Stegostoma tigrinum: one gene and its partners. The protein of the gene in region 1 binds, or shares a complex with, the protein of each later gene. Links are inferred from orthologs where the notes say so. Each region holds a gene or a part of one and is shown in the gene's direction. Other genes may lie near its edges.

Evidence for each region.
Region 2: nup188 (region 1) and nup153 share a complex: the UniProt entries of both Homo sapiens proteins name them as parts of the nuclear pore complex. The link is inferred for Stegostoma tigrinum from reciprocal best matches to the Homo sapiens genes NUP188 and NUP153.
Region 3: nup188 (region 1) and nup85 share a complex: the UniProt entries of both Homo sapiens proteins name them as parts of the nuclear pore complex. The link is inferred for Stegostoma tigrinum from reciprocal best matches to the Homo sapiens genes NUP188 and NUP85.
Region 4: nup188 (region 1) and cetn3 share a complex: the UniProt entries of both Homo sapiens proteins name them as parts of the nuclear pore complex. The link is inferred for Stegostoma tigrinum from reciprocal best matches to the Homo sapiens genes NUP188 and CETN3.

The regions. Positions count from the first base shown.
Region 1 is NC_081382.1:33,834,761-33,842,612, reverse strand, and holds the start of nup188 (nucleoporin NUP188), read left to right. Parts: upstream 1-4,835; 5' UTR 4,836-4,883; coding exon 4,884-4,912; intron 4,913-7,852. Other genes in the region: dolk (dolichol kinase), read right to left, coding at 1-134. UniProt on the Homo sapiens protein: Component of the nuclear pore complex (NPC), a complex required for the trafficking across the nuclear envelope. Required for proper protein transport into the nucleus.
Region 2 is NC_081355.1:33,648,521-33,656,174, forward strand, and holds the start of nup153 (nuclear pore complex protein Nup153), read left to right. Parts: upstream 1-4,643; 5' UTR 4,644-4,825; coding exon 4,826-4,909; intron 4,910-7,654. UniProt on the Homo sapiens protein: Component of the nuclear pore complex (NPC), a complex required for the trafficking across the nuclear envelope. Functions as a scaffolding element in the nuclear phase of the NPC essential for normal nucleocytoplasmic transport of proteins and mRNAs.
Region 3 is NC_081375.1:37,005,146-37,012,433, forward strand, and holds the start of nup85 (nuclear pore complex protein Nup85), read left to right. Parts: upstream 1-4,279; 5' UTR 4,280-4,344; coding exon 4,345-4,383; intron 4,384-4,432; exon of another isoform or gene 4,433-4,532; intron 4,533-4,570; exon of another isoform or gene 4,571-4,711; intron 4,712-5,144; coding exon 5,145-5,235; intron 5,236-5,696; exon of another isoform or gene 5,697-5,825; intron 5,826-6,919; coding exon 6,920-7,103; exon of another isoform or gene 7,104-7,120; coding exon of another isoform or gene 7,121-7,138; intron 7,139-7,288. UniProt on the Homo sapiens protein: Essential component of the nuclear pore complex (NPC) that seems to be required for NPC assembly and maintenance. As part of the NPC Nup107-160 subcomplex plays a role in RNA export and in tethering NUP96/Nup98 and NUP153 to the nucleus.
Region 4 is NC_081356.1:93,259,588-93,267,285, forward strand, and holds the start of cetn3 (centrin-3), read left to right. Parts: upstream 1-4,692; 5' UTR 4,693-4,771; coding exon 4,772-4,788; intron 4,789-7,698. UniProt on the Homo sapiens protein: Plays a fundamental role in microtubule-organizing center structure and function. As a component of the TREX-2 complex, involved in the export of mRNAs to the cytoplasm through the nuclear pores.

The DNA.
Region 1 (7,852 bases):
TTATGCTGAACATAATAAGCCTGAATCGCCAAGGCAAGCGTGCACCAGGTAAAGATGTTCCAGATCACAGCGTGGACAGACAACACGATGATGAAAACAATGAAGGACTCCACAAAGACAGGATTTTTCAACATTGCTGCAAGACTTTTCTTATGATGTACACCGTACTGAGGAAAGTTTTAATTATTGTAGAATCCCGAAAAGCGTTTGGGGTTCCATTTCATCTGGCAGAAATTATGTTGTTGAATGTTCCCTTTCATTGAATTTTCTTCCAACTTTTGCAACTGGGTAGATCTAACTGACTGCCAGACCTGGAATAGAGATTGTAACGTAAACTGTATTAGTTACAGTTAGATTATAACCTAAAAGTGCCAAATGTTATAGTGAGGCTTTTCATCCACTTGTGAATCAGCCGAAGGAGTCTCAGTAAATCAATTACAAGGGTGAAATTCAACAGTTTGTTAGACATGCCAAGTACTGCTTGGAAATGCCATCAGATTAGAATAGATTGAATGCAGGGAGCCACAAGTTAAGAAGCAACAAATACAAAAATTCTACTGAAAACAAGTAGTTACTGATGCAGAATCACTAACGTTATAGTACTACCGACAGCATCACTTTGCTGAATTAAGGGTACTTGGACTGAGCAGGCTTCAGCTGCCTGATGTATGTACCATCTATCTGATGTAACTAACTGGAAACAAACATTCTATTGACAAAGAGCATAGACGATGTGTGGTATCTGCCACTGCAGCAGATGCAGTGTACAAGTTCTGCCCTCATAAATTTAAGACAAGAATTGATTGTGCACTGTGTTTTGTGTTCTCTATTGTGACATAGGAACAGGAGTAGACCATTCAGCCTCTTGAGCTTCTCCTGTCACTCAATAAGATCATAATGGATCTGTATCTTAATTCCATATATGCCATTGCTAACAAAATCTATCAATCTCAGTTCTGAAACGTTCAACAGACCCAAAGTCAACAGCCTTTTGGGACAGAGTTCTGGACTTCTGTCAGCCATTATGTGAAGAATTGCTTGCAGACCTCACCTATGAACAGCTGAGCTCTATTTTTAAGGTTGTGTTCCCTAGTTCTGGGTTCTTTCACCACAGCACAGTGTGGTCTTACTAGCCTATTTTAATCATCTTCAAATGATCTTTAATCTTCCACTGATATTCTGAGTGCCTTTTGCTGGGTCCTAAATCAGAGCTTTGTTCAACTGTAACATTACTTGTACCTCTTTGTATTCCAGCTCTCTTGAGGTATAGAGACCAATATTCCATAGCCTTTTAAATCAGCTTCAATAAAGTTACACCAAATGTTTTTCTTTACTGAATTATTCAGACTTCCTACCCTTTGTGATTCTGGGCATTTTATTCTGTTCTTTCGTCAACTGTCTTTTTTCTCCCTGGTGACTAAACATTTTGATTTCAAGATCTCTGTCCAAATACAGTGCTACATGTGAAATTCACTCTTCTACCATCACCCACAGATAAGAATAACATATAATTCATAGATTAGTTTCCTATTTCTGCTGGTAAGGTTTTTGTTATATCTTTTGAGCTTGAAACAAAGCATGCGAATGAGCAACAAGATATTTGATTAGATATATGGAAGCAGGAAGTTTTCTTTCTTAGGAAAATTATGACAGATTTTAAATGCAGTAGCTGATTATTTTTTGTACATATGGATAAAACTAAACCTCTTCACAAAATACAATTCCTCTTATTGGAAGTGGAAACCTGGAGGGATGGCTGTTCAGTCATACAGCACAGAAACAGACTCTTCAGTCCAACTGGTCTGCGCCAACCAGACATCTCAATATGACCTAGTCCCATTTGCCAGCATTTGGCCCATGTCCCTCTAAATCCTTCCTACTCATATCAATGTTGTAATTTAAAGTCGCCTAAATGGCTTCCTCTGGCAGCTCATTCCATACATGCATCACCCTGTGCGTAAAAAAAAACCCCTCGGGTCCTTTTTAAAATCACTCACTTTAAACTCTTAATAATAAAATGTGAGGCTGGATGAACACAGCAGGCCCAGCAGCATCTCAGGAGCACCTGAGAAGCTGCTGGGCCTGCTGTGTTAATCCAGCCTCACATTTTATTATCTTGGATTCTCCAGCATCTGCAGTTCCCATTATCACTTTAAACCCTTTAAGTTTTGGACTTCCCCACCTTAGGGGAAAAGACCTGACTATTCACCCTATCCGTGCATCTCATTATTTTATAAACTTCTGTAAGGTCACCCCCTGGCCTCTGACACTCCAGGGAAAAAAGCCCTAGCCTATGCTGCCTCTCCCTGAAACTCAAATCCTCCAGACACCGCAACATCCTTGTAAATCTGCGCCTTCTCAAATTTAACAATGCCTTTGCTACAGAAAGATGTCCAGGATTGTGCATAGTATTCTAAAAGTGGCCTCCCCAGTGTCCTGTACAACCACAGCACAGCATCTCAATTGCTACACTCAATGTTATGGCCAGTAAAGACAAACATGCCAAATGCCGCCTTCATCATCCTGTCTACTTGTGACTCCACTTTAAAGGAGCTACAAATCTGTATCCCTAGGTCTCTTTGTTCAGCAACACTCACCAGGACACTACCATCAGTTCTCAAAGTTAGGATTTGTTTAAAAATGAAGCTTATAATTAATGTTCATTAAAACCAAGTTCTAACTGTAATTTGAAAACCTAGATTTTAATAAAAGGACAGAGAAAATGAGTTTGCAAACCTTGGACTGCAAAATACCAAGGCATATTGGAGAAAATCAGTAAACAAAAACTTTAAGTTTGAATATCACGAATTCAAGACAAGTAAAAATCATCAAAAACTGCTCATTCAGGACAAATGAGAAATCACAATTACCTAAAGTTTAGACAATTTTTTTTACATCTCATCATTAGTCTATTGTTTGAAAGAACTTGCATTTATTCAGCACCTTATGTAAACTCAGGGTGCCCTAAACTCTTTACAGTCAAGTAAATACTGAATGTAGTCACTGTGGCAACTTAGTAGGCAATTGGCAAACAGCAAGGCTACACAATCTTCGATGAAATAATGACTAGCTAATCTGTTTAGTGATAGTTGAAGGATAAACATTAGCCTTAACACTAAGGGGAACTTGTCCGTTCTTATTCCAAAAGATGTTATAAATCTTCAACATTCACCCAGTATATCAAATGGGGCCTTTTTTAAAACCTCCCTTCTGAAATAACAAACTTCCAGCAGTGTAGCATTCCTTTAGCATCACACTGATCTGGATACCTATTGTGTTTAATTTTCAACAGTGGGACTTGAACCAACAAACTGACTGATTAGTGAGGGATCTACCACTGAGTACAGACTGATTCAATTTTTCAGAAATGAGATTCAAGAATTGATGTTTATTGCTGTATCTGCAGCTACTTAACTACCATAATAGTGAAAGCTAAATGCATTTAACACACTACATATGACTTTAACCAGTGTTTTGTTGAAAAGCAAAATTTAAGTGAATGTCATTACAATGTATGTACTTCTCCTTCTTCACGAATAACAAATGAACGACCATCAGTGAATATAGTCCATTCATAAGAACAGAAACAAACCCAGCAATTTTTCATTGTTCTTCGAATTTTAGAGTCTAAAGATATGCTTGCAACTTGTGACGTCACCGTTATATACACACGTAGGATGTTAAGAGGGTATTAATACCTTGATTTGATTTTTAGTCAGGAATTTCATGGCTTTTTAAACACATTTGGGAGTAAATTTTGTTTTAAATTTAACCAGTGAGAGTGACTGGCCAATGTTGAAAACCCGATCTTTGATAATCCCTACGCAAAAAGTTTAATGTCAGCAAGTAATCAGTTTCAAAGACACCAACTCCTAGTTATTTTTCCAAGGGCACATCAAACAGTGGCATTTGAAACCAAATTTACAAAATTTCATTCTACTCGAATGAGACAAGGAAAGTTTGAGAGTGTATTTAGATGGAAACAGTTGACAGCAACCCATTGGCAACAGCGGGGTTCAGAAAACAGATTGCACATACTCAGTACAAAATGTCCAAGCAGGCAAAATAAAATTAACAATCAAGAGTTTAGTACTCAAATTTCAATTGTTATATTAGGGGTGTCAGTCAAATATAGCAAACCACTGGTAGATAACGTAAACTGATAGTCAAATAAGTCTTTCAGCACAGCAATGGTTTGATTAAGCTGTTCATTTAGTTCCAGATAGATAAGGTACACACCCTAACTGTCCAGTTAAAATTCAAACGAGAGGGAGGGGTCGGAATATCGTTTAAAAAAAAAAATCAGACGAACGGTTTACAAAACATGGATTTTAGCGGAGTCAAACAGTAAAAGAAATAATTTTCTCAGCCAGATCTCTATAGTGGCCTTCGATAAAGAATAATAGCAAGGGATAGCCATTTATAAGAATTCGCTGGTGCAAGAAAAGCGTTCGATTACTCGTAGAGAAATGAAAATAATGATAGAATGAATATTACCATCTAGCGGAAAAGAAATCTAGACTAAAACTAATGTGCATATTTTTTTAAGAAAAACCAATCTCACCAAACGCAAGAGAGGAGCAGGAAGGCTGAGGTTTCAGGGATAGACCCGAAACCTCAGCCTTCCTGCTCCTCTAATGCTACTTAGTATACTCTATTCATCCAGCCCTACACCTCATTATCTCAGATTCTCTAGCATCCACCTTTCCTACTATCTCTCACCAAATAGACTCACCTGTCACCTTCCAGGAGGCGGCCATAATGAAAGGCCAATCACGTGACACGAACAGTACCGTTGAAGTCACGTGCAGAGGGCCGTGGCACCCATGGATGGTCACGTGCAGTGGGTCGGCTTGGATGTTGGTCACGTGAGTGCGTTGGCAATGGCGGCGGCGGCGGGCCCTTACGTGAGGTAAAATGAAATATATGAAACTTTATTTTTTTCTTAAAAAACAAAATGGAAAGCACAGTTTGAGTTTGCGCCGATCAGTTCTGCGAAGCAAGTGTGTTTTCTCGGAAACAAGACCCGGTGGCCGGTATTTGTCTGTCTATCTGTGTGTGTGGTTCCTGTGGGAGCGCGGGGCTACAGTTGGTAAATGGATGAGAACGCGGTGAACACGAGTTTACGTTCAAACTCTATCGTGCCAGGAAAGGGTTTTGGTTCTTTTGGGATCATAATTTTAGATTTTTAACTTGTTCACTTCGTAGATAGACCATTGTACATTGTGGCTGTACCGGTAACTTATTTTCCCCTCGCTCCGTTAAGGGACACAAATTTACGAGAATCTGACAGGAAACTGTTTCTGTTCTCTCAACCCCCCACCCCCTTCCTGTCGCTCAATGATCTGAAAAGTTCTGCAGTATCTTCAAATAGCACCTGATACTCTCGGGTCGTTACCAACACTGAAAAGCAGTTCCAGCGTCTATAATTTAGAAGTCCATACATCTCCACAATTCAGTTTTAGTCTGCCCATCTAATCTGTGTCTGGCTATTCCAGTTCAAGATATAAGGAAAGTTTAGTGCAGTGCAATTTCTTTCCTATAATAGTGTCAATGAGACTGACTGGTTACTGGGATCGTACTTTTGTTTCAATTGACTGTATTTCAACATTAAAAATACAGTTTTCTTGTTTAAAAAAAACCTCTCCTTTTATTTTCTCCCTCATTTCACCCAGTGGAGACAGTATGAGGAGCTAGTACTGTTAACACAACTTTTGTAGTGCTTGGTGAGTTCTACAGTTAGCAGCCCACGCAGTTACAATAGTTTCTTGTCAGTGATGGTGGAGTAAACTTGTTATCATCTTGATATGAAGTTCAGATTTTTTTTATGGATACTTGATTAAATATGGCCAATATATCATGCAACCAGAATGTGGGGAGCAAAGAATAGTTGATGTTTTAAGTGCAAATATTAACTTTTTTGATTTTGTTCTTCAGTGACAGAACTTTAGGTCGTTTGATTTTGAAGTGTCCTTTTTCTGCTGAATGATGTTGGTGCTATCATTCAAGAGACATTCACTGAGCTAAATCGCCCATAGGGATGTGTAGATTAGGTGGTTTATAGAGGGATGGGTCTGTGTGGGCTGTTCTGAGGTTCGGTATGGACGTGGAGGGCCAAAGGGCCTGTTTCCACACTGTAGGGTTTCAATGATTCTGTGTCATCTTGACAATTGTGCAGGACAAATTTGTTTGTTCACAGGATAATTTTGACTTGCACGATTAAGTGGTACATCCAAGGTGTTTTTCCTCAACATTTCCTTTCTCTTCCTCTCTTTTTTCCCTTAAGATTTCCCTTTAAATCTTTTTTCTTTTGAAGTTTTTAGTTACCTGTTGTAATATTTATTTGGCTTGGTTTAATTTTATCCTGTTACCTTGTGTAGAGCTTTGGGATATTCTCCTGTGTTCATGCTCGTCATTCCAGCACTGCAGCTGGTTACTTGGCTCTTTGATTCCACTCTGAATTCTGTATAAATGCAACTTATTGTTAATGAGTCACATTTTGTGGTATGCACTTCGTGCCACCTGCTTGATGTATGGTATGTTTGGGCAGCACTAGCTTCTTTGGCCATCAAATAAAGGGTTTAGGGACTGCTATTTTGCCACTGGTCTACCAACTCCCTTTATGTATTATGTCTTTAAAGTTAATATCTGCAATTTTCTTTTGCTGCCCCAGTCCCTGGTGTAAAGTTTCTTTTTAAAAAAGCATTTGTTTGAAAATTATTTTCAATCTTAAAATATTTTCTAGGGATTAAAAGAAGTTTTGTTTCTCCTCAGACTGGAGCTGCTAGCTTCTATTGTAGAAATATCGAAGCCCCAGTGTGGAAAAAGGCCATTCAGCCAACAAGTCCATGCTGACTCTCCAAAGAGCATCCCACCCAAATTCACCACCCCACCCTATCTTTGTAAACTTGTATTTCCCATGGCTAGTTCACCTAACCTGCACGTCTTTGAACTGTGGAAGGAAACTTCTGGACAAAATCAGCACAGACACAGACACAGAGAACGCACACAGGCGCCTGAGGCTGGGATTGAGCCCAGGTCCCTGGCGCTGTGAGGTGTGCGTCCGCTTAAATTTAACAAGGAGTTTTTAATAGCTTTTGGGTCATGCAGGATTCATGTATCCTCTTTCAACATGATTTGAATCTGGGTCAGAATTCTTAAAATTCACTCATGGGATGTGGCAATGCTGACCTAGTCAGCAGTACCTCCACTAAATTCTCTGTAAGTGGTAAAGTACCTTCTTGAAGCACTGCAATCCACAGGGGTTAGATACACTGACAATGCTGCAAGGAGAGGAGTGTGCAGTATAGAATAGGGCCTCCATGTTCCAAACCTGAATAGCAAATTCCGATGAATTTTTGGCTCTGCTTTCTATATCAGAAAATATCTACTAAAATTTGGAGCTGGACGATAGCAGAATTAAACACAATGACATACAAATTTGTTAGTGTTAAATTTGGATTCAATAAAAACAAAACATTTTCAGTCTTTTTATCAAGACAAGTCATTAAAATTTAGAGATAATGCCATGGGCACCCGCATGGGCCCCAGCTATGCCTGCCTCTTTGTAGGTTACGTGGAACAGTCCCTCTTCCGCACCTACACAGGCCCCAAACCCCGCCTCTTCCTCCGGTACATTGATGACTGTATCGGCGCCGCCTCTTGCTCCCCAGAGGAGCTCGAACAGTTCATCCACTTCACCAACACCTTCCACCCCAACCTTCAGTTCACCTGGGCCATCTCCAGCACATCCCTCACCTTCCTGGACCTCTCAGTCTCCATCTCAGGCAACCAGCTTGTAACTGATGTCCATTTCCAGCCCACCGACTCCCACAGCTACCTAGAATACACC
Region 2 (7,654 bases), on another chromosome or scaffold:
GACTCCTTATTTCACTTCTGAGAAGATCTAGCTATAATTTTAAAGCTGACACCCCAAAGTACTAGCCTTCCCAGGCAGCATAATTAATTTCTACCTTCCCTAATCATTCTCCTTAATATTTTAAACTTTGAACAAATCACTTTCTGTTTTTCTTCATAATTTCATCCTTGGATTCTGGATTTCATTTTAATGTATTTAAATGCTGAACTACACTGTGTACCCTGCAATGCAATTTATCCTAAGATGTGCACAGAACTACTCACACTACTCTCAATTGTGATCTGACAAGGGTTTTTTATTGACTAACTTGAGTTCTTCTAACTCCATCTGCTACTCTAATTTCTAATATTTTAGATCCATGTAAACAGCGCCCACATCTCTTTGAACCTTCACTGCTTGATACTTTTCATCATGGATAATGTTCTGAAGTTTTTAGGTTCATTGTAAATATTATTTTCCATAATTATGTTTATTCAGAATATGTTCATATTTAAACTGCATGTATGCTGGATTTGTGGCTTTGTTCTTTAATAGATGTGCCTTTAGGCCCCAACACAGATCTTTGTGGAATATCGCAAGTCATGACTCAGGCCTACTCTGTCTCTTCCCACTCTACCAATTTCCTAACTACAATTGTGTACACTTCCATGAGTTTCAAATTTAGCTAATAAGGAGTTATCAAACATCTTTTGGAAATTCATACAACAACATCCATAGATATTCCTACGTCCGTTGTTTCAGTTAATTCTGCAAAATATAAAATCATTGATTTGTTCTTATACAAGAAGCAAATATTTGGCTCAATAAGTATCTGCCCACTCACCACAAGAGCAACTCATCTTGTCCCGTTCCTTAATCCTTTCCCTGTAGCATTGCATTCTTTTCTTCTCCAGGTGCTTATCTAATTAGGCGCCTTGTAAATGTGCCTTATAAAAGTCATGGTCAAAATTGTCTTTATCACTCGCAGGCAATGCATTCCAATTCTTAGTCAATTACTGCATAAAAATACTTTTCTGCATGTTGCTGTTGGTTTGTGTGCTTCTCAGATTAAATCAGTATCCTTCTGTTCTCAATCATTCTCCAACAGCAGACCATTTCTCCCAAGATGCTCTGTCTTGATTCTTCCTGATTTCAAATACATTATCAAATCTTCTCTCAACCTTCTCAAATCTGTCAAAGTAACTCAGGTTCCTCATCCCTGGAATCATTATGCTAAATTTTTTATGCATCTTTTCTGAAGACTTAAGGTCTTTCAAAAGTATGGTGCCCAGATCAGACTCAATATTCAAGTTGACGGTTAAAACTATGAAGATCAAATTGAATCAGGTTTGTCTAGTGTAATTTTATTTATTCATTTGTGGGTTGTGGCTGTTGTTGGCTGGACTGACATTTATTTGCCCATTCTGATTCCCCCTGAGAAGGTGATGCTGAGCTGCCTTCTTGAACTGTAGCAGTTCTTGGGGTGTTAGAGAGTTCCAGGATTTTGACCCCTTGGAATTGAAGGACTTACAGTTACAAGTCAAGATGGTACTTGCAGTTTGAATACTATTTGGCACTTATTAGCTCAATGCTGAAAGTTGTCTAGGTCTTCCTGCATATGGATATTGACTGCTTTAGTAGCTGATAAGGAATGATTGGTGACCAATGTGCAATCATTGCCAAACATTCCCAATTCTCACCTTATGGTAGATCTGTGCAATCTTTCTTGGGTCAACTGAAACAATTCAAGGTGTTCAATGCAAGGGAATTCATGCAGACCTGTATTCCAACCAGAACTCCATCAATAAACACGTTGAACTGGACCCAATATACAAACCACTGAAAAACAGAACTGGAAATAATGCCAATCACCCCAGTAAACCAAGGCATATAAATAACAAGCAGGAAAGAATACCAAAACTACACAAGAGGCGCACTGACCATGATACCTTGCAGGGTGACAAAACATCTGCAAACAAATCGATCGACTCAGTGAGCAAGTCTACAAACTCATCCACAACCCAAGCTACAAATCTAAAAAACTTTTAAAGGTGTTCAATCTTTGTATAAGTGAATTTAGAGTCTAGTAATTCCCTAACAACAAATGTTAAACTAAGAACTAATGTTATTCCTTATGTATAATTAAGGCTGAGACAGATAGATTCTTGATCGGTAGGGGAATGATGGGTTACAAAGAAAACAGAGGAAAGTGGGCATCAGCAATAAGAACGTTAGACAAAGGAGAGTCAGTGTAAGGGATTCTCTGGATTTAGAGAAGACTTTTGACAAGGTACCACACAGGAGGCTGCTAAATAAGAGCCCATGGTGTTCTGGGAAAGGTACTGGCAATGGACAGATGACTGGCTGACTGGCAGGAGACAGCAAGTGGGCATAAAAGGATCTTTTCCAGGATGGTAGCTCGTGACCAATGGAGTTTCACATGGGTCAGTGTTGGGACCACAACTATTCATGTTAGACATCATGATCTGGACAAAGGAACTCACGGCATAGTTGGTAAATTTGCACATGACACAAAGATAAGTGCAGGGGCAGGCTGCGTTGAGGGAAGCTATAAGACTTGGATAGGCTGGAAAAGTGGACAAAGAAGTGGCAGATGGAATATAATATGGAAAAGTGTGAAACTGTGCACTTTGATAGGGAAAATAGATGTTGGACTACTTTGTAAACTGGGGAAAGGCTTTGGAAATCTGAAGCACAACGGGACTTAGGAGTCCTAGTTCAGGATTCTCAAGGTGAACATGCAGATTCAGTTCAGAAGGTAAGTGCAATGTTAGCATTCATTTCAGGAGGAATAGAATACAAAAGCAGGAATGTACTAAGGACGCTGTATGAGGCTCTGGCCAGATTATATTTGGTATATTGTGAGCAATTTTGAGCCCTGTACGTATGGAAGGATGACCCTGCCTCGGGGGGGAGTGTTCAGAAGGATGATCCTGGAAATGGACGGCTTGTCATACAACAAGTGTTTGAAGAACTAGATAGCGTTTTGAAGGATGAGGGGGTATCGTAATTTAGAATTCTGAGAGGCCTGAAGAGGGGGGATGTGGAGAAGATGTTTCCACTTGCAGGGGAGACTAGGACTTGAGTGCACAGCCTCAGAATTAAAGAATGACCCTCAGAACAGAGGCTGGTAAATCTGTGAAACTTGATACAACAAAAGGCTGTGCAGGTAAGTCATTGACTGTCTTTAAGAAAGACACATTGATAGGAACTTGATTAGTAACGTACAGGAAGAAGGCAGGAGAAAGGCGTTGAGAAGCATATCAGCCATAATTGAATGGCAGAACTCATTCGAATGGCGTAACTCTGCTCCTATATCTTACTGTCTCATGAGCTATGCTCCTATCAAATTTATTATCCTGCCATGATAGATGGTGGAATCTGAATTCAATGAAAAAAAAACACATGAAAGAAGAGTCTACTGGTGACCATGAAAGCATTGTTGCTTGTCAGGAAAACTCATGTGGTTCACTAATGTCCTTTACGGAAGGAAATCTGCTGTCCTTACCCGGTCTAGCCTACATCTGACTCTGGATGCACAGCAATGTGGTTGGCACTTAAAAATTAGGGACAGGCAATAAATGCTGGTCGAGCGTGCAATGCCCACATTCCCTTGAATGAGTGAAAAATAAGGCAGAGCACAATCAAGGGCCAATGTGCCCTGCAACTGTTCCCATTTCTTATGGTCATATGGTTTTTAAGGAGAACGTATAAGTGAAAGTTGAGTTTAGAACTTTCACTAGAACCAAATTAATTTCTCCCCCTTCACTGCCACCTGACTTTTTTTTGTTTGCTTGAATTACAGCATCGGTAGTAGGTTGCGTTTGGAATCACCAGAGGATAAAAAATTCAACGATTGCTGCCACCACACACATAAGTAAACGCCAAAAATCATAAGTCAATTCGCATCAGTACAAAGTTAAATTTTACATTTCTACAGTACTCGTCATGACTTCCAACGTCCTTACACGCAATCCATGACGCCTGTAATGAGGTGGAGACACAGTTGTGATGTAAAATGACTCATAATATTTCGGCGAAACTTTCTTGACCCTCTGTAGCTGCTTTCTCAATGTTAGATAACACTGTCTGATTTCAGTCTAGTAATATTTTGGAATAAACCAATGACCGTTTACACACTTCACATTTTCAATAAGGTAATCTTGGTTTCCCTTGAGTAAGTTTTGGTCAGTAATTCCCCTTCCCTCAAGCACGAAACTGATCAGCACGCAGATTCTGTAGCCAAATGAATCCCTTTGAAAAATTCACTGATCCACTTGAGCTCAAGTCAATCACGTTCGTAGAGCCAGAGATGGACATCCTGAGGAGAGAATGTAGATTTCGTACACCCGTATTACCCTCCCGATCTCCATCCTCAGAAATATTTTGGTCTAAAGACCAGAAGCACAGAAACATGGTGGGGAGACGAGGGCAAAGCGGAAGTTAACACATGCGCTAATCTTCCTTCTGCTCCCTTGATGCTTTGCGGGCCGTTTGTTGGGCGGAGCCAATGGCAGCGTCTGGCGGCGGGGTGACGCAGGCTTGGCGCATGCTGTCTCTTGAGCGCGCATCGTGCGTTGGGGGAAAAACCCTTCCCCTGAGGGAAGGCACTTGCGTGCGAGTGAGCGAGAACGCGCCCGCATGCGGATGGTTGGTTGAATGCTTGTTGCGAAGTGCGTGGTTGCGGGAGACGGTAGAAAGCGTGTGACGTTACAAGTGTGGATTCCCCCCTTCTCCGTCCCTCCTCCCCCCCCACCTCTTCCCGGACACGGCTGCTAGGAAATAGAGAGCGGCGCGAGCGACTGGTAGGCAGACGGATTCAGATATGGCGGCGGCGACAGGAGGAGGGGGGGGTAAAATCCGAAACAAGAGACACCATATCATCAGCAAACCTTACGCTAAGAACCAGGTATTTTATTTTATTATTTGTTGTTACTCTAAAGAAAGGATTGCCAAACCGGACCGCGTTAGGTTTAACTAAGTCGTTGCAGGAGGAGGCGGCTGTCGTGAGCCCCGCTTTCTCGGCAGAGACGGTGTGCGCGAGCCGCGGCCTAGTGGCTGGCTTCAGCGGCCTGAGCGATTGAGGGCAGAGTCGGGACCAAACTTGGGCCCGACCTGTTCAAAAAGGTAAAAAAAACAGGCTGGAGGCGGGTAGAAGGTGCTGACGACGGAGCTGTAACTCCCAATGGATCTCTCCCCTCTGGGATTTATTTCATTGTGTTTAGTGTTTACTGTATAAATGCTGTTGAGACGCTTCTTGTCGGCTTGTTATTCGCTTCCGGTTGCATTCCCACGGCCGGCTGGTAAGAGCGACTTTCTCTCCTTTTTTTCCCTCGACTTCGTCTCCCCTGTTTTACTACGCTGCCCTGTTTTTCTTCCTTCAATCTCCCGTTCTGGCCTGAGCTTCACTGGGTAGTCTTTCGGCTTGCTCCGGTCTCCGTCCTTTTCGCGTGCCGCCATGGGCATTTTGGCGCGGACTTGATTTGTTCCTTTAAAGCGAGTCTTCCATAACATTTTCGAATACTGCTGTTCCTGTTGTGGAAGTTTGGCGTACAAGTGCGATTTTAGCCAGTACATTCGTGTACTGCATTTTAACCAGTTTCCTCTTCTACGATCATCGTGGGTTTGGGGGTGGCTCAGCTGCGACTTTGACATGAGGACTTCACGCTGCCGGTATCTGGAGTACTCAACTGTTGCCACCGACTTCTTAATAAATTTACATTTTGACGGGACACTTTGCTTTTTGAACTTCAGCTAGTATATTACCTGAGGGATTTATATTCGAACAGTCTGATTTTAAAATTATTACAATTAGTACTAGTATATGAGGTTGTTAGTATCAAAAACAACCGAAAGCATTTTGGTTGGAAGATCGGTCTTATTTGTGTTCAGAAACTTGGCATTCAAAAATAATTTCCACACAACTTTTATATTTCATTCCCAACTATACTGAGGGGGTATTGCTTCATTGTGATAGGCTTTTGCAAACCATGCTGATGCATTCTTATCGAAATGGAAGTGCATAATCGGCACTGTAGGCTTGTTTCAGCCCTTCAGTAAGATGCTTGTTTCTTAGATCTCAGATGTTAATATGTGGGAGGGAAAAAGTGAATTTATGAAATATAATGCGCAAGTACGGACATCTTGAAGCACTTTACAGTCATTAAAGTTTCATCCTTGTAACAAAGAAAACCTGACACCCAGTTTGTGCGTACAAAACTTCAACAAACAAATGTGTTGGGCCAAGTAATCGTTCTCTGATGCTCTTCTTTGAGACAGTTCCATGACACCCTTTATATCCACCTGAGGGGCAGTTGGGCTACAGCATCTCCATGGTGCAGGACACATTTGGGTGCTGAGCTGGTCTGCCAGTCTTGATTTTTATGCTGAACTTTGAATGAATCTTAAATTTGAAACCCTGTGACCCAAATGAGTATCACTAACCGAACGTCAGTCATTAGGACCATATTGATATTTTTGTTCTGGAAAGAATTTCACCTGCTAAAAGCATGCATTTGTGTGTGTCCCGCATCTATGAAATGTGTAGTTATTTACTACTTTAAGGATTATGGTTACACTTGCTGTGTATACTCTTTATATAGTTAAACCTCACCTTATGTTTTACCTTTCAAATATTATTGCTACCTCCCTTAGATTGTTGTATCTTTCACTCTTCAGTCTTATTTCCAGCCACTTATTTGTTTTCATGTACACTAACTCATTGTCAGTACACACAGTCTTAGAGTATCGCAGTCTTGCATTTTAAACACGTTGCAAGTTACCGAACTAAACTTATATATATTTGGTGCTTTAAACCTAGCTTCACAAAGTGTTATCAGATAGAAGTTAGTGATGCAAAGTTTTAAAACTCCTCTTGGAGGAGGGTGAGGTGGAAAATTTTGTGAAAGGAATTCTGTAGAAGCTGTGTCATTGGTACACAAAAGAAAATTGGGAATTCAAAATGCACCAGTGTTCCAGGTTCGAAGTAAATGGGACTTCTTTGTTCCACCTTTCCTAACATGATTGTAACTAGATTATCTCCAGTGATTACTTTTTTTCCTATACCATTATGCCTTTGTTCAGAAGACCCATGGAAGCCTCCTTTTATTTACTTGCATGTTGCCTTCTGATGGTATCATCCTCAGTCTTGGGTCAGCTTCCAGTCAGAACAAGGCTGAAGCCATTGTATTTGGATCTCCAGTTTAATCTTGCTGACCCAGATTTACTTCAACCTCTTCAAATCTGAACTGAGATTCTGAATTCAAATAATTATTATTATTATTGTTATTATTGTAAATAGCACTTACGTTAACCTGTAAGATGTTCTTGTTACGTTCTGCATTTATGTAGAAGCATGCTGGCAGTTTATAATAGTCATATTTTTAAAGATGTGAATATGCAGGGAATGTAGGAATATGTACCATATGCAAGCAGATGGGATTGGTTTAGAATGGCAACTTGGTGGGCCACGTGACTGGTCCTGTGCTGTACTGTACTCTATAATATCGCTTGCATCTATGGGGTAAACCTTTCTGCTACTGAAACTCAACTATGCCTTTATTGCTTTGATGCAAATATGTCCATGCCTGCTTTTGTCCTCCACTACCTGTAAAGATCACCTCATTCAAAACTACCTTTTATGTTCTACTTATAC
Region 3 (7,288 bases), on another chromosome or scaffold:
ACCTAGTGTGAACAATTCTTTCGGGTAATGTCAGACATTCTTCCTACCAAAGTTTTTGTCCACTAACTCATCTACATCCCTTGAAAATTCCTTATGACTCAATTACACCATGCCTCCTATTTTTGTATCGTCAGTAAATTTGGATACATTCCTTTTTGCTTCTTCATTAACATAGATAATAAACAATTACAGCCCTAGGACTTTGCGCGCTCATCCAAATGCTCCTTAAGTGTTTTGAGGGTTACTACCTTTTCCATCCTTTTAGGCAGTGGGTTCCAGATATCCATTATCCTCTTTCTTTTACCCCTTAAATGTCTCTAAACTTCTTGTCGTAAAATTATGTCCCTGGTTACTAACCGCTTTACTAAGGGGAAACATTTCTCTCTATCTAATTTTTCACAACTTTGTACAGCTCAATCAGCTCCCCTCAGCTTTCTCTGCTGCAAAGAAAACAAAGCAGCTTGTGCTCCTGAGATGCTGCTTGGCCTGCTGTGTTCATCCAGCCTCACATTTTATTATCTTGGAATCTCCAGCATCTGCAGTTCCCATTATCTCTGAGCCTATCTAATGTTTCTTTTCATAGCTGAATTACTCCAGCCTAGGCAATGTCCTAGTGGATCTCCTTTGCACCTCTCTCATGATCTAACGTAATATACAGCTCCATTTAAACTTCTTGCACCTGTATTTAATCCCTTGACTAATAATGGCAATTATCTTACAGCTACCTTATCCTGCTGAATCTATGGATATGCACACCAAGGTTCCTCTGTATATTCTGGAGTCCTACCATTTAACGTTTATTCCCTTGCCTTATTAGTCTTTACAAAATACATCACACTTTTCAAGAAAAAATTCCATTTGCTACCATTTAGCTCATCTGACTGGCCCAGCAAAATAGTCTAGTAGTGTAAGGCTTTCCTTCTTGTTATTTACCACACCATCAATTTTCTTGTCATCTCTGATACTACAGATCTTACCTCCTAGACTCATGTCTAGATCATCAATAGTAAGAATCCAGCATGGAGCCATTTGGCATAACACTGGACACAGACTTCCAGTAACAAAAATCCCATAGAATCATATAGTTACAGTGCAAAAGGAGGCTATTCATCCCCCCATGCCTGCACCAGCTCTTCAAATTAGCATCACTGCCTTGCACCAACCTCTTGCGTTTTCCCTATATTCTGGCACACTATTTCCATCCAAATAATCATCCAATGACCTCTTGAATGTCTCAACCTAACTTACCTTCACCAGATTTCCACGCAATGAATGCATCCCATATCCCAACTACGCACTGTGTGAAAAATGTTTTTCTCACATCACCCTGTTTCTTTTACATATCTATGACCTCAGTTTTATTAATGTGAATGACTTCTCAGTGCCTAATCTATGTGACTGCTCAAGATTTTGAAAACTTCGATCAAATCTTAATCAGCCTTTTTATCTGGAAGGAGAAACAGTCCCAACTTCAAACTATTGGCAGCACAGTGGCTCAGTGGTTAGTGCTGCTGCAATGCAGTGCCAGGGGCCCGCATTTGATTCCAGCCTTGGGTCACTGTATGTTTGGAGTTTGCACATTCTCCCCAAGGTTGCCTGAGTTTCCTCTGGGTGCTCTAGTTTCCTCCTGCAATCCAAAAATGTGCAGGTTAGGTCCATTGACCATGCTAAATTGCCCTTAGTTCAGGGATCTGTAAGGTAGGTGGATTAGCCATGGGATATGCAGGGATAGGGTACGGTGGTGGGTTTGGATGGGATGTTCTTTGGAGGGTCACTGTCGACTCAATAGACTGAATGGCCTGCTTCCACGCTGTAGGGTTTATATTATTCTTTCTGTCCTCATTACTGAAATTTTTCATTCCTAGATCCATTCATTTAAATTTGCATCAGCAGTCTCTCCAATGCATACACATCTTTCCTAACTGTACACAATATTCCAGCTAAGGTCTAACAAATGTCGTAAGTGTGAGTTCAACATCACCGTTCAACTATCACCCCCCCAGACTTCCTGCCATTGTCAATTCCGGATCCAATTTCCAAAACTGCCCCCGATCCCATGAGCTCTTAAGCCATGAGCAAACCCCATGAACAAATTAACCAATTTGCCAAGTGAGACTTTGTCAAAGATCTTACCGAAGTCTGTGTAGACTATATAAACTGCACTACCCTCATCTACATGTTGCTAGCTTGGTCAATTGTGGTGCTACCAAGGCAGCCTGTTAATGGACGTTCAGTCCTTGGGCAGGGATCATCTGTGCCCTTCCTATCCTCAATGCTTCCACCAAGTCATATTCAACACATTAGAGCACAGGTTTGCTCAACTGAGGGAAGGTAGTAGGTGTTCATCGGCAGGAGGTTTCCTTGCCCATTTGACCAGATGCCTGAGACTCTCAGAGCCACTTCTCCCAACTGTATGCAAAGGTAAATTGCTACAAAGTAAACTTTCTTTCCTTATTCTTCCTGACTCTTCTGCAGCCGTTGACATAGTGGACCATATTATCCTCTCTTGAGGGGAGGCAATGGCCTAGTGGTATTATTGCTGAACTGTTAATCCAGAAACCCAGATAACATTCTGGGGCCTGGGTTCAAATCCTGTTTTGGCAGATGGTGGAATGTGAATTTAATAAAATATCTAGAATTAAGAATCTAATGACAATCATGAATCAATTGTCAGGGAAAAGCCCATCTGGTTCACTAATGTCCTTTCGGGAAGGAGACTGCCATCCTTACCTGGTCTGGCCTACATGTGACTCCAGGCCCACAACAATGTGGTTGACTCTGAACTGCCCCCGGGCAAGAAATGCTGCCAAGCCAGTGATGCCCTCATCCCATTAATGAATAAAAAAACTCTTCTTGCCTGTCATCCAGCTGGATGAGATTACTGTCACCTACTTGTGTTTTTATATATCTAAACACGGTTAAAAATCACATGTTCTCTTCTTGGTCTCACACTGTTACTTCTGGAGTCCCCTCAGAAATCGTTTCTCAGCTTTCTCCTATTTCTCATTTACATTATGCCCCTCAGTGATTACAACATTTGTTTTCATGTGTACATGCCACCCAAATCCACTTCGTCATTCTTGACTCCTCCACTGTTGTTAATCTATGAGACATTTATCACCTGATATGTGCATAGCTGTGCAGAATTTTTTTTCCAATATTGGGAAGATTGCAGCCGTCATTTTTGGTTTCTGCTTTAAACTTTGTTCCCTGGCTAGACCCCTTCCCTCTTCCTGGCTGCAACTTGAGATTAAGAACCTTGGTGTTAAATTTCACTTTGAGATGAGTTTATGTTCTCATAGATCTGTGCCATCACTAAGACAACTTATTAGTATGGAGATAGTAGGAACTGCTGATGCTCTGAGATTACAGAATGCAGAGCTGGATGAACACAGCAGGCCCAGCAGCATCAGAGAAGCAAGAAAGCTGACGTTTTCTGGAGAAGGTCCAGATCTGAAACGTCAGCTTTCCTGCTCCTCTGACACTACCTGGCCTGCTGTGTTCATCCAGCTCTACACTTTGTTATCTCTACTTATTAATATCATCTTTTTCAGCTCAGTTGTTATGGAAACCATTCATGCTCCCTGTTTACTTCTAGACTTGACCATTTATAAGCAATACTGGTTGTTCTCCAACATTGTTGCCTCTTTTGAGTTCAGGTTAAACCTAAGTCTTGACTCACACCAAGTTACACACCATCTCCTGGTTGTTGATCGACGTTGTCTACCACACCAGCAATGTCTTGATTTCAAAATTTTCAACCTTACTATCAAGTCCTTCCACCACCTCCAAATAATGTCATCTTCGATTCTGGTCCCTTGTGTGACGGTGACTGGATCTTAATTTCTGGAATATCTTCCCTCATCCCACCTACCTTATTTTCCTTCTTTAGGTTGCTCATTAAATAGTTTCTCTGATACAAGCTTTTGGTTTGTTTTAATATCTCTTAATGTGTCAAATATTGTTTTATGATGTTCCAGTGAAAAGTTCGTTTCATTACATTGAAGACGCTAAGATACAACTGACTCTGTGGGTTTGCTCCATCAGTGGAACAGGACAGACTCGCTAAAGGTGATTTCGGAATCTGGGCTATTAGCTGTTTTTCATCTTGGTCCAGTCTGTAGCACTGACCACGTTTTATCTGATGTTCGTTAATGCTGGGAAACTAGCGGAATTTTCTTCAACCGTCGCCGCTTGACAACATTTAGATCAGGCCCAGCATTTGTTGAAACCGCGTGTTTGTGGTTCAGTGGTGGATACAATCAGCTGATCAGGCAACTAAGAGGCCGCCCCAGTGATGGGGTCCTTGATGAGCGGGCGGCGCGGCGTGACCAAGGGAGCGCGATGGAGGATTCACTTCAGGAATATGAGCCGATCCCAATGGTGAGGGTGAGGGAGACGAAGAGGTGGGATTCGACAGAGGAAGAAAGTTTTTTTCCGATCGTCCATTAGACAGTGCCAGGAAGAGTGTCTCCGGAGCAGTTGTTGTACAATCGGATGGTTGTTCCCGTGTGACCCGGGACCGCAGCCTGGTAGAACATTTTTAGAGAGGGAGACCTACTCTTAAACAGAACCTCGAAACACCCCAAACTCTTTTGAGGTCCGCGGAGTATTTTCTTTGCGAAACTGCAGGGAAAATTGAGAAAGTAGAAATGGCCGAGGTTCTTTACAGAGGCAACGCGGACTGGTGGGCCAATTAATCTCCTGTGGTGTAACTATTCGTTGATTATCCTTTTCTACAACATGTTCGACACTTCAAAAATACTTAATCGGTTGTAAGCCAAATTGGGATGTTCGAGGATATGCTACTAAAATGCACGTCGGCCTTCCCTTTCGAAGTGCTGTTGCTGATGTCATGCGACGCCCAAATTGCTCACAGTTAGAACCTACACACATGAACATAACCAGATGTTCCGGTCTTAGTGATGCTGGTTGAACAAATGTTGGGTAGAATGTTGAAGTGAATTTACCTGCTATCTTTCAGTCACGTTCAAGGGTATTTTTGTATTCACCTGATGAGGACAGACATTTCTTTTGAAAATCAATGTCTGACAGATCAGCGGTTCTTCGGAGAGACAGTAAAATATTTCTCCAACAACAGAGTTTCAAATAAATAATTTTCTCTCTGTTGTTGTTGTTCCTAGGATATTCCAGGAGTGGATGTTGGAGAGTTCATCGGGTTTGAATGGGGCCCTACTCAAATGTTGCTGTATCCGACACGGCATGATCAGACAGGTACTGTGATTTTCTGATTATTTATTTTTAAACAACCTTAAGTAATTTAGAATAATGAGAAATTGCTCTTGTCCCAATCATTTTAACCTGACAAATTTTGGCATCGGATTTTAAAGCCTAAATGGAGATACTTCTGCGTACACTCCAACACGTGATAAAAGTAAGTAAGGATAAGAAGTTGACAAAGAACCAAAAGCAACGTGACATAATATGTATTGTTGTGACTTGAAATGAACTGCCTGAAAAAAGTGATGAAAATGGGTTCAATCATAATATTTAGAAATATGGAAGTTGATGGAAGATTAGAGAAATGGAATTAATTGGATGGCTATATTAAGGCAAAATGGGAGTAAAAACCATTTTTGTGTACAATATCATTGCATTATTCGGTCCTGGCACAGTTCACTCCAATCTATTTGCAAATATCATACATTTACATTTTTCCATTTCGTTGACATGAGAATGAATCGTTTGGAATAAAAATTTCATTGACTGAACCAAAAGGAAAAGAATGGAAATAATGTAAAATGAATGGAAGATCCATATCTATCAGACCCTGCATAGGGAGCAGGATAGAGAAATAGCTTAAGGTAAGCATTAAGCCCATGTGTTACAGTACAGACTTTTTTTGGGAGCGTGGTTGGTTCACCATGGTATTGGGGGTACTCCAGTTGCATGAGACTTGACTGCTTTGAAAGTTAGTGTCAAAAAGGCATCACAGGATTTGAATGTCATTAAAGTGTGAAGTACCATAGGATGTGTATGCAGAATTAGGCCGTCCAGCCCATCAAGTCTGCTCTGCCATTCGATCATGGCTGATATGCTTCTAAATCTTCTCCTGCTTCTCCCCACAAGCCTCGATCTCCTTAACAATCAAGAACCTATCTATCTCTGCCTTAAATAAATCCAATGACTTGGCCTCCACAGCCCTCTGTGCCGTTGAGTTTCAGAATCACCACCCTCTGGCTGAAGAAATTCTTTTTCACCTCCGTTCTAAAGGGTCATCCGAGGCTGTGCCCCAGGTCCTAGTCTCTCCTGCTAGTGGAAAGATCTTCTTCACATGCACTCTATCTAGGCCCCTCATTATCTTGTGACTTTCAGTGAGTTCTCCCCAAGGCCTTCTAAACTCCATTTGAGTGCAGATTCAGAGTACTTGACCACTCTTCGTACAACAAACCCTTCCTCCCATGCTCGTTCTTGTAAGCCTCCTCTGAGCCCCCTCCAATGCCAGCACATCGTTTTTTAGATACTGGGCTCATGAATTACTTTGCTGAAGGGAATAGCTGAGACAAATAGCGTCACAAAATGTTTAAATAATTAAAAAGAAAGATACTGCTTTGGGGATAGAGTCAATCAGTGGGACTGATTTGGATAAAAAAGTGCACGGTGGTATGTGGTAAACTGGTGAATAATATTGGATTATTCTGATTAAGTGCAGTGATATAAAAGATGGACTGTGAATATTTTGGAAACTGGTCGCTCCCTGGTTGAGATCAACTAAGAAAATAGATTTGGAATCAAATGTTAAATTTTTCAGACTCATGGCTTAGTGCTGTGATATGTTGTGGTTTCATTCACTAGGTCCTTACGAGAGCCATTTCTAATTGTTCTGACTAATCAAATGTAGCTGAAAAGCATTATTGTCTGGTATGCTTTATGCAGACCATACATTTGCATTTCCCAGCCCTCCTTTCTGTTCATACCCCAGAGACTGCACCAGACAGCTCCCCAAGAATGCCCTCCATTCAAGTTGTCTACAGCGACAAAGATATATACTCACCAATTCTGTGTAAACTTTTCAACGAGTCACATGGCATCTTCATGACTCTTCAGAAATCCAAACACGATTGCACAACCCAGAGAGCAGAGTGAGTAGAAACGGACTTCAAGATTTTCTTTTACTCTGAAATATAACACATGGCTTACTATCTTCAGGTATTTTGCTTGTTGCAAAAAACTAATACGAATTAACTGGGATAATAAAATGTGAGGCTGGATGAACACAGCAGGCCAAGCAGCATCTCAGGAGCACAAAAGCTGACGTTTCGGGCCT
Region 4 (7,698 bases), on another chromosome or scaffold:
AATGAGGCCAGGTGCATTTTTTTTTGTAATACAGGGTCAGGTAGAACATCAGCACTACGTGACATATGGTGTTTGCGTATTGAGGGACTAAGCATAGCACACAAAGGTGGCCATCAGGATGAAGATAGTAAAGTGTGGAGATGGATGAACACAGCAGGCCAGGCAGCGTCTCAAGATGCTGCTTGGCCTGCTGTGTTCATCCAGATCCACACTTTTTTATCTTGGATTCTACAGCATCTGCAGTTCCCATTATCACAGGATGAAGATAGTGTTGAGTATGTTTTCTGCCCTTCCCACCCCACTTAACTAGAATTTTGTACATGGTGTCCCTTTTGACACAGTCCATCTTTCACCTCTAAATGAAATGGAAGATGCCTTGGGTGACTGCAGTGATACAGGTTTGGGGAATAGGCCAGACCTTTACCACATACAGTAATATTGATTACCTCACCTGATGATGAGGTTTTTACCTGCAATAGATGGGAATGTTACTCCCACCCCTGCCCAGTTTCTGCTTCACCTTGGTGATGACGTCCTTCAAAGTTTTGGTATATACCCCCACCCCCCCTACGTTTTTCCAGAACCTTCAGATAAACTGCTTGATGGGGATAAAAAATCGGTCAGCCCAGTTCCCAAAGAACATGATCTTGCTGTTGCCTTAATTTACTCATGAGGCCAGTTCAAGCTGGTCGCAGATGTTCATGATTCTATACACTGACAGTGAATCCAAGCAGAAAATGGTGATATGATCCCGATACAGGGTGACTTTGACCTGCAGGCCTCTCCTGCCTGGAATAGTCATCATACTCAGGCTCACATCCTTCCTGATGGATTCAGAAAAAAAGGCTCTCTGCAACATGCAAACAAGGCAGAAGAGAGTGAGCAGCCCTGCCTAACTCTAGATGTGATTGAAAAACTTTGGTTCCCACCCAGTAATTGAATGTGACTTAGAGCCATAGAATCATAAAGCACAGAAACAGGCCTTCAGCTCAACTTGTCTATATGGACTCTAAATATGACCTTACCAATGTCAGTACAGCCATAACATGACATCCCAATTCCTGTACTCAATGCTCTGACTGATGAAGGCAAGTGTGCGAATTGCCTTCTTTACCACCCTGTCTGTGACGCCACTTTCAAGGAACTATGTACCTAAGAACTCATTCCAGGCCCCCATCATAAACTGTAAGTTCTGTCCTGGTTTATCTTACCAAAATGCGGCACCTCACATTTATCTAAATTTAACTCCACTGCGATTCCTCAGCCCACTGGCCCATCTGATTAAGATCCTGTTGTTCGCTTGAGATAATCTTCCTTCACTGTCCACTATACCATCAATTTTGGTGTCACCCACGAACTTATTAACCATACTTTGTATATTCTCAACTAAATAGTTTATATAATTGAGAAACAACAGTGGACCCAGCACTGATCCTTGCAGCAGACTGCTGGTCCCAGGCTTCCAGTCTGAATAACAATTTTCTACCATTACCATCTGTCTCCAATCGTCAAGACAATTCTGTATCCAGTTGGCCAGCTCCCCCCGATCCCCTGAGATCTAACTTTATTAAGCAGTCTACCATGCCCAGGCCTTGTTGAAGGCTTTGCTAAAGTCTATGTAGACAATGTGTACTGCTATGCATTCATCTGTCTTCTTGGTCACCTCTTCAAAAAAAACACTCAATCAACTTTGTGAGACATGTTTTTCCATGCATAAAGTCATGCTGACTACCCTTAATCAGTGATACCCGGTGTGGCTTCCTCTACATTGGGGAAACCAAGCGGAGGCTTGGGTCGGCTTTGCAGAACACCTACGCTCGGTTCGCAATAAACAACTGCGCCTCCCAGTCGCGAACAATTTTAACTACCCCCCCCCCACCATTCCTTAGATGACATGTCCATCATGGGCCTCCTGCAGTGCCACAATGATGCCACCCGAAGGTTGCAGAAACAGCAACTCACGTTCCGCTTAGGAACCCTGCAGCCCGATGGTATCAATGTGGACTTCACAAGCTTCAAAATCTCCCCTCCCCCCACTGCATCCCAAAACCAGCCCAGCTTGTACCCGCCTCCCTAACCTGTTCTTCCTCTCATCTATCCCCTCCTCCCACCTCAAGTTGCACCTCTATTCCCTACCTACTAACCTCATCCCGCCTCCTTGACCTGTCCGTCCTCCCTGGACTGATCTATCCCCTCCCTACCTCCCCACCCATACTCTCTTCTCCACCTATCTTCTTTTCTCTCCATCTTCGGTCTGCCTCTCCTCTCTCCCTATTTATTTCAGAACCCTCTCCCCATCCCCCTCTCTGATGAAGGGTCTAGGCCGGAAACGTCAGCTTTTGTGCTCCTGAGATGCTGCTTGGTCTGCTGTGTTCATCCAGCTTCACACTTTGTTACCCCTAATCAGTACTTGCCTTTCCAAATGCCTGAAGGTCCTGTCTCTCAGAATCCCCTCCAACAACCTAACCACCATTGGTACACTCACCTGACTGTAGTTCCCTGCCTTTTCCTGCAGACTTTCCTAAATAATGGCACCTCACCTATGACTATAGGTGATGTAAATACCTCTGCTAGGGGGCCCATAATTTCTTCCCTAGCTCCGAAAAGTAGTGGAAGCATTTGTGGTCGTCTTCCAGGATTCTATAGACTCTGGAATAGTCCCTGCAGATTGGAGGGTAGATAATGTCACACCAAGATTCAAAAAGGGAGGGAGAGAGAAAACAGGGAATTATAGACCAGTAAGCCTAATGTTGGTAGTCGAGAAAATTCTCAAATCCATTATCAAGGACTTTATAATGGGGCATTTAGAAAGCAGTGGCAGGATCAGACAGGGAATGCATGGATTTATGAAGGAGAAATCATGCTTGATAAATCTGTTGAAATTCTATGAAGATGTAACTAGTAGAGTTGACAAGGGGGAGCTAGGTGATGTGGTATATTTGAACTTTCAGAAAGTGTTTGACAGAAGTCCCACATAAGAGATTATTGTGCAAGATTAAAGTGCATGGGATGGGGGAAAGTATATTGAGATGGATAGAAAATTGTTTGGCAGAGAAAAAACAAAGAGTAGGGATTAATGGGCCCTTTTCAAATTGGCAGGCAGTAACTAGTGGGATACCATAGGGAGTGGTGCTGGGACCCCAGCTATTCACAATATATTAAATGATTTTGATGAGGGAACAAAATGTAACATCTCAAAGTTTTCTTATGATACCAAGTTTGATGGGAGGGTGAACTGTAACAATGATGTAGATGCCTTCAGCATGGTCGGACATGTTGGGTGAATGGGCAAATCAAAGGCATTTATAGTATAATTTGGATAAATGTAAGGTTATTCACTTCGGAAGCAAAAACAAACAAGCAGATTACTACATGAATGGCTGTAAATTGGGACAGGGGAGTGTGCAGCAGGACCTGGGTGTCCTTGTGTGCCAGCCACTGATGTTAAGCATGCAGGTGCAGCAGGCAGTAAAGAAGGTAAATAGTATGTTGGCCTTCATTGCAAGATGTTTTGAGTACAGGAGCAGTGATGTGTTGTGGCAGTTATACAGAGCCTTGGTGAGGCTGCACCTAGAATATTGTGTGCCATTTTGGTCTCCTTTTCTGAAGAAGTATGCTTTTGATCTCGAGACGGTGCAGTGAAGTTTTGTACCAGGCTGATTTCAGGGATGATGGGACTGACGTATGAGGAGAGATTGACTAGAATAGGATGGTTTTTGCTGGAGATCAGACAAATGAGGGGGGATCCTATAGAAACTAATAAAATTCTAACAGGTCCAGTCTGTAGATGCAGGGAAGATGATCCCGATGATGGGTGCGCCCTGAGTCTGGGTGTGTCAATGGTCCGAGTCTAAGGATTTACAATATACCATTTAGGACGGAGATGGAACATTTCTTCACCCGGAGAGTTGGTGATCCTGTAGAATTCATCACCACAGGAAGTAGTTGATGCCAAAACATTAAATGTATTCAAGAGGTGGCTAGATAATATAGCACTTGGGGCAAATGGGATCAAAAGTTATGGGGAGAAAGCAGGATTAGGCTATTGAGTTAGATGATTAGCTATGTGTGATGAATGGCAGAGCAGGCATGAAGGGCTGAATTGCCGCCTCCTGCTCCTATCTTCGAAGTTGCGCACAACATCCTGGAATACACTTGGTCAGGTCCCGGGAATTTATCTACCTTATGTATTTTAATAACTCCAGCACCACCTCTTTTGTAACGTGGACTCTTTTCAAGATATTCCTATTTATTTTCCGGAGTTCCCAAGCTGCCATGTCTTTCTCCACAGTAAATTCCGATGCCTTTACTGGTTTATGATCCTTCCCAGTTTTGACCTTCGAGTTGAATTCGGTGGGTTGATGCACAGTTTAGTATGCACTCTGATACAATCAACACCACTTTTGAATTCTGACTGCCAGTTTTTGCAAAGTATTTTATATACTGTGAGAACAGTTGTCTGTAGTCTGTCTGGAATGATTACCTATGGCCTCCGCACCTCCCAGCAAAACTCTCTGCGCCACGAACCCCGCCCACGGCCTCTGATGTGTAACCGCGCTCAGCGAGCTTCCATTGACGGTTGGCGAACATCACATTATTGACACCTCTCTTACCCAATTGGAGGATGTGGTTTGCAGGTTGTCCTATCGTAAGCGGAGCTGGTGATGCCCGATTCTGCCGAATGGGCACAGAGGAGAGTCGGAAGGTGGGTCTTGGCGCTGGTACGTCCTCCAGGTTTCGTTGAGTGCAGTCGGGCTCTGTTACGGCTGCGATGAGTTTCCCGCTGAGGTAGGTCGCTGCTTGGTGTCATTGAACGGAGAGCCTTGAAAAACAAAAACCCTGATTTCCCCCCCGCCTTCTTGGTGGGGTTGGGGTTGGGGTTGGGAGGTCAGTGATCCCAAAACGGCGTCCTCTTTGATTTCTCTTTTTTTTGTACAGTTTATGTCAAATATGCGGCCTCTATGTCGCCAGTGGGCAGTTTCTATCACTGCCCTGTGGTGAGGAGGCCGAACGCTAACACCGCCGTTGACAGTTTCCTACACAACGGCTTGTCCTTTTAAACGCCTGAATTACCCGTAGTCTCTCAACACTTCCATCGGCATCAAGTGCCTTTGTATTCGGCCTCAGTTACGCTACTGCTTGGTTTAGTAGTTAGGATTGTGCTGCACAGTGCCATCTAACCGTGTGTGAGTATTGTCGCTGCTGTTTTTCATTTGATTAGCCAGTATCTGGCATGTGTAGCCTCAGTGCCCGACGATGTTCTGGAATTTATCGGTTAACTCGATACAAGTCACATCAGCCACCGCTTTAGGATCATTAGTTGTGGATCTTCAGTTGCTGGAGGTGACATACACCCGTGCAGGGACCCTTCTGTTTGCCAATAAAAGAAGAATACCCAAGCGTTGTGAGTTTTTGAATTAGCTGGGAGCTTGCAGTACCCCTGCTGCATTCTCCATGGCAACATCTGTTCAATCAGAGATAGCAGGAACTGCAGATGCTGGACAATCTGAGATAACAAGGTGCAGAGCTGGATGAACGCAGCAGGCCAAGCAACATCAGAGGAGCAGGAAGGCTGACGTTTCGGGCCGAGACCCCAATCAGTTGACTTGCCAACCAGTCTTTCTGTTTTGTGATTTTTGTTTTTCTGATTTGACTATTTTTGTAGTAGGCTGGTTGGCTGTAACTGGTGGAGTAACACAAGGACCAATACTTAGGCCGTAGCTGTTCACAATATTTATGTGTGTGGCGTATCAATGACTTAGAGTCTGAGTCGTAGAGGTGTACAGCACGGAATCAGATCCTTGGGTCCAACTCGTCCATGCTGACCAGATATCCTAAATTAATTTAATCCCATTTGCCAGCATTTGGCCCACATCCTACTAAACCCTTTTTATTCATATACACATCCAGATGTCTATTAAATGTTGTAATTGTACCAGTCTCCACCACTTCCTCTGGCAACTCATTCCATACCGGCAGTGTCTTCTGCATGCAAAGGTTGCCCCTTAGGTCCTCTTTAAATCTTTCCTCTCTCACCTTAAATCTATGCCCTCCAGTTTTGGACCCCCCTACCCTGGGAAAAGATCTTTATTTATTTAACCTGTCACTGCCCCTTATGGTTTTATAAATGTCTCTAAGGTCATCCGTCAGCCTTCGTCACTCCAGGGAAAATGCAGTACCTCACATTTATCTAAATTAAACTCCATCTTTCACTATTCGGCCCTTTGGCCGCTCTGATCAGGATCCTGTTGTACTCTAAAGTAACCTTCTTTGCTTTCCACTACACCTCCAATTTTGGTGTCATCTGCAGGCTTACAAATCATTGCTCCCATGTTTACATCCAAATCATTTATATAAATAACAAAAAACAGTGCACCCAGCACTGATCCTTGTGGTACACCACTGGTTACAGACCTCCACCACTACCCTCTGTCTTGTACCTTTTGAGCCAGTTTTGTATCCAAGTGGCTAGTTCTCACTGTATTCCATTTGATCTATCCGTGCTAACCAGCTTACCATGAGGAACCGTGTTGAACACCTTGCTGAAGTTCAAATAAATCATGTCCATTGCTCTGCCCTCGTTGATCTTCTTTGTTACTTCTTCAAATAACTCATTCAAGTCAGCGAGACATGATTTCCCAAGCACAAAGCTATGTTGATTGTCCCGTGTCCTGGGGATTTATTCACTTTGTGCATGTTAAGACATTCAGCATCACCACCTCTGTATTTTGGACATTTTTCATGATGTCACTGTTTATTTCCCTATGTTGCCTATCTTCCATATGCTTCTCTGCAATAACTACTGATGTGAAATCCTCATTTAGTATCTCCCCCATTTCCTGCGGTTCCACACTTAAGTGGCCTTGCTAATCAAAAGGAGCCCTGTTCTCTCCCTAGTTAATCTTTCGTCCTTAATGTATTTATAAAATTGCTTCAGATTCTCCTTAATCTATTTATCAAAGCTATCTCAAGTCTCCTTTTTGCCCTCCTGATTTTCCTCATTAAGTATACTCTACTGACTTTATACTCTAAGGATTCACTCCATGTCTATACCTGACATATGCCTCCTTTTTCCTGATCAAAACCTCAATTTCTCCAGTCATCCAGCATTCTCTACACCGATCAAGCTTGCCCTTCACCCTAACAGATTCTCTCTTGGACCCTCGCTATCTCATTTTTGAAAGCTTCCTATTTTCCAGCCATCCCTTTACCTGCAAACATCCACACCCAACCAACATTTGAAAGTTCTTGCCTTATACTGTCAAAATTGGCCTTCCTTCAATTTAGAACTTTAACTTAGATCCGCTCTATCCTTCGTCATCACTATTTTAAAACTGTATTTCCAAATTATGATTTGATACAAAGCTAAATGAGAACATGTTTTGTAAGGAAGATAAAATGTTGCTTAGTGGGATTTAGACAAGGCTCAGTGAGTGAGCAAGAACACGGCAGATGGGATATAATGTGGGCAAAAGTAAAGAAGTTACCTACTTTGGTAGAAGAAACAGATGTGTGGAATATTTTCAAATGGAAACCACTTGGAATGTATAGATGTACAAAGGGACCAAGGTGTCCTTCTTGATAACTCATTGAAAGTTAACAGTCAGGTGCAACAAGCTATTAGACATCTAACAGAATGCTAGCTTTTATTGCAAACCATTTAGCTACAGGAGTAGTGAAGTCTTTCTTCAAATTTAG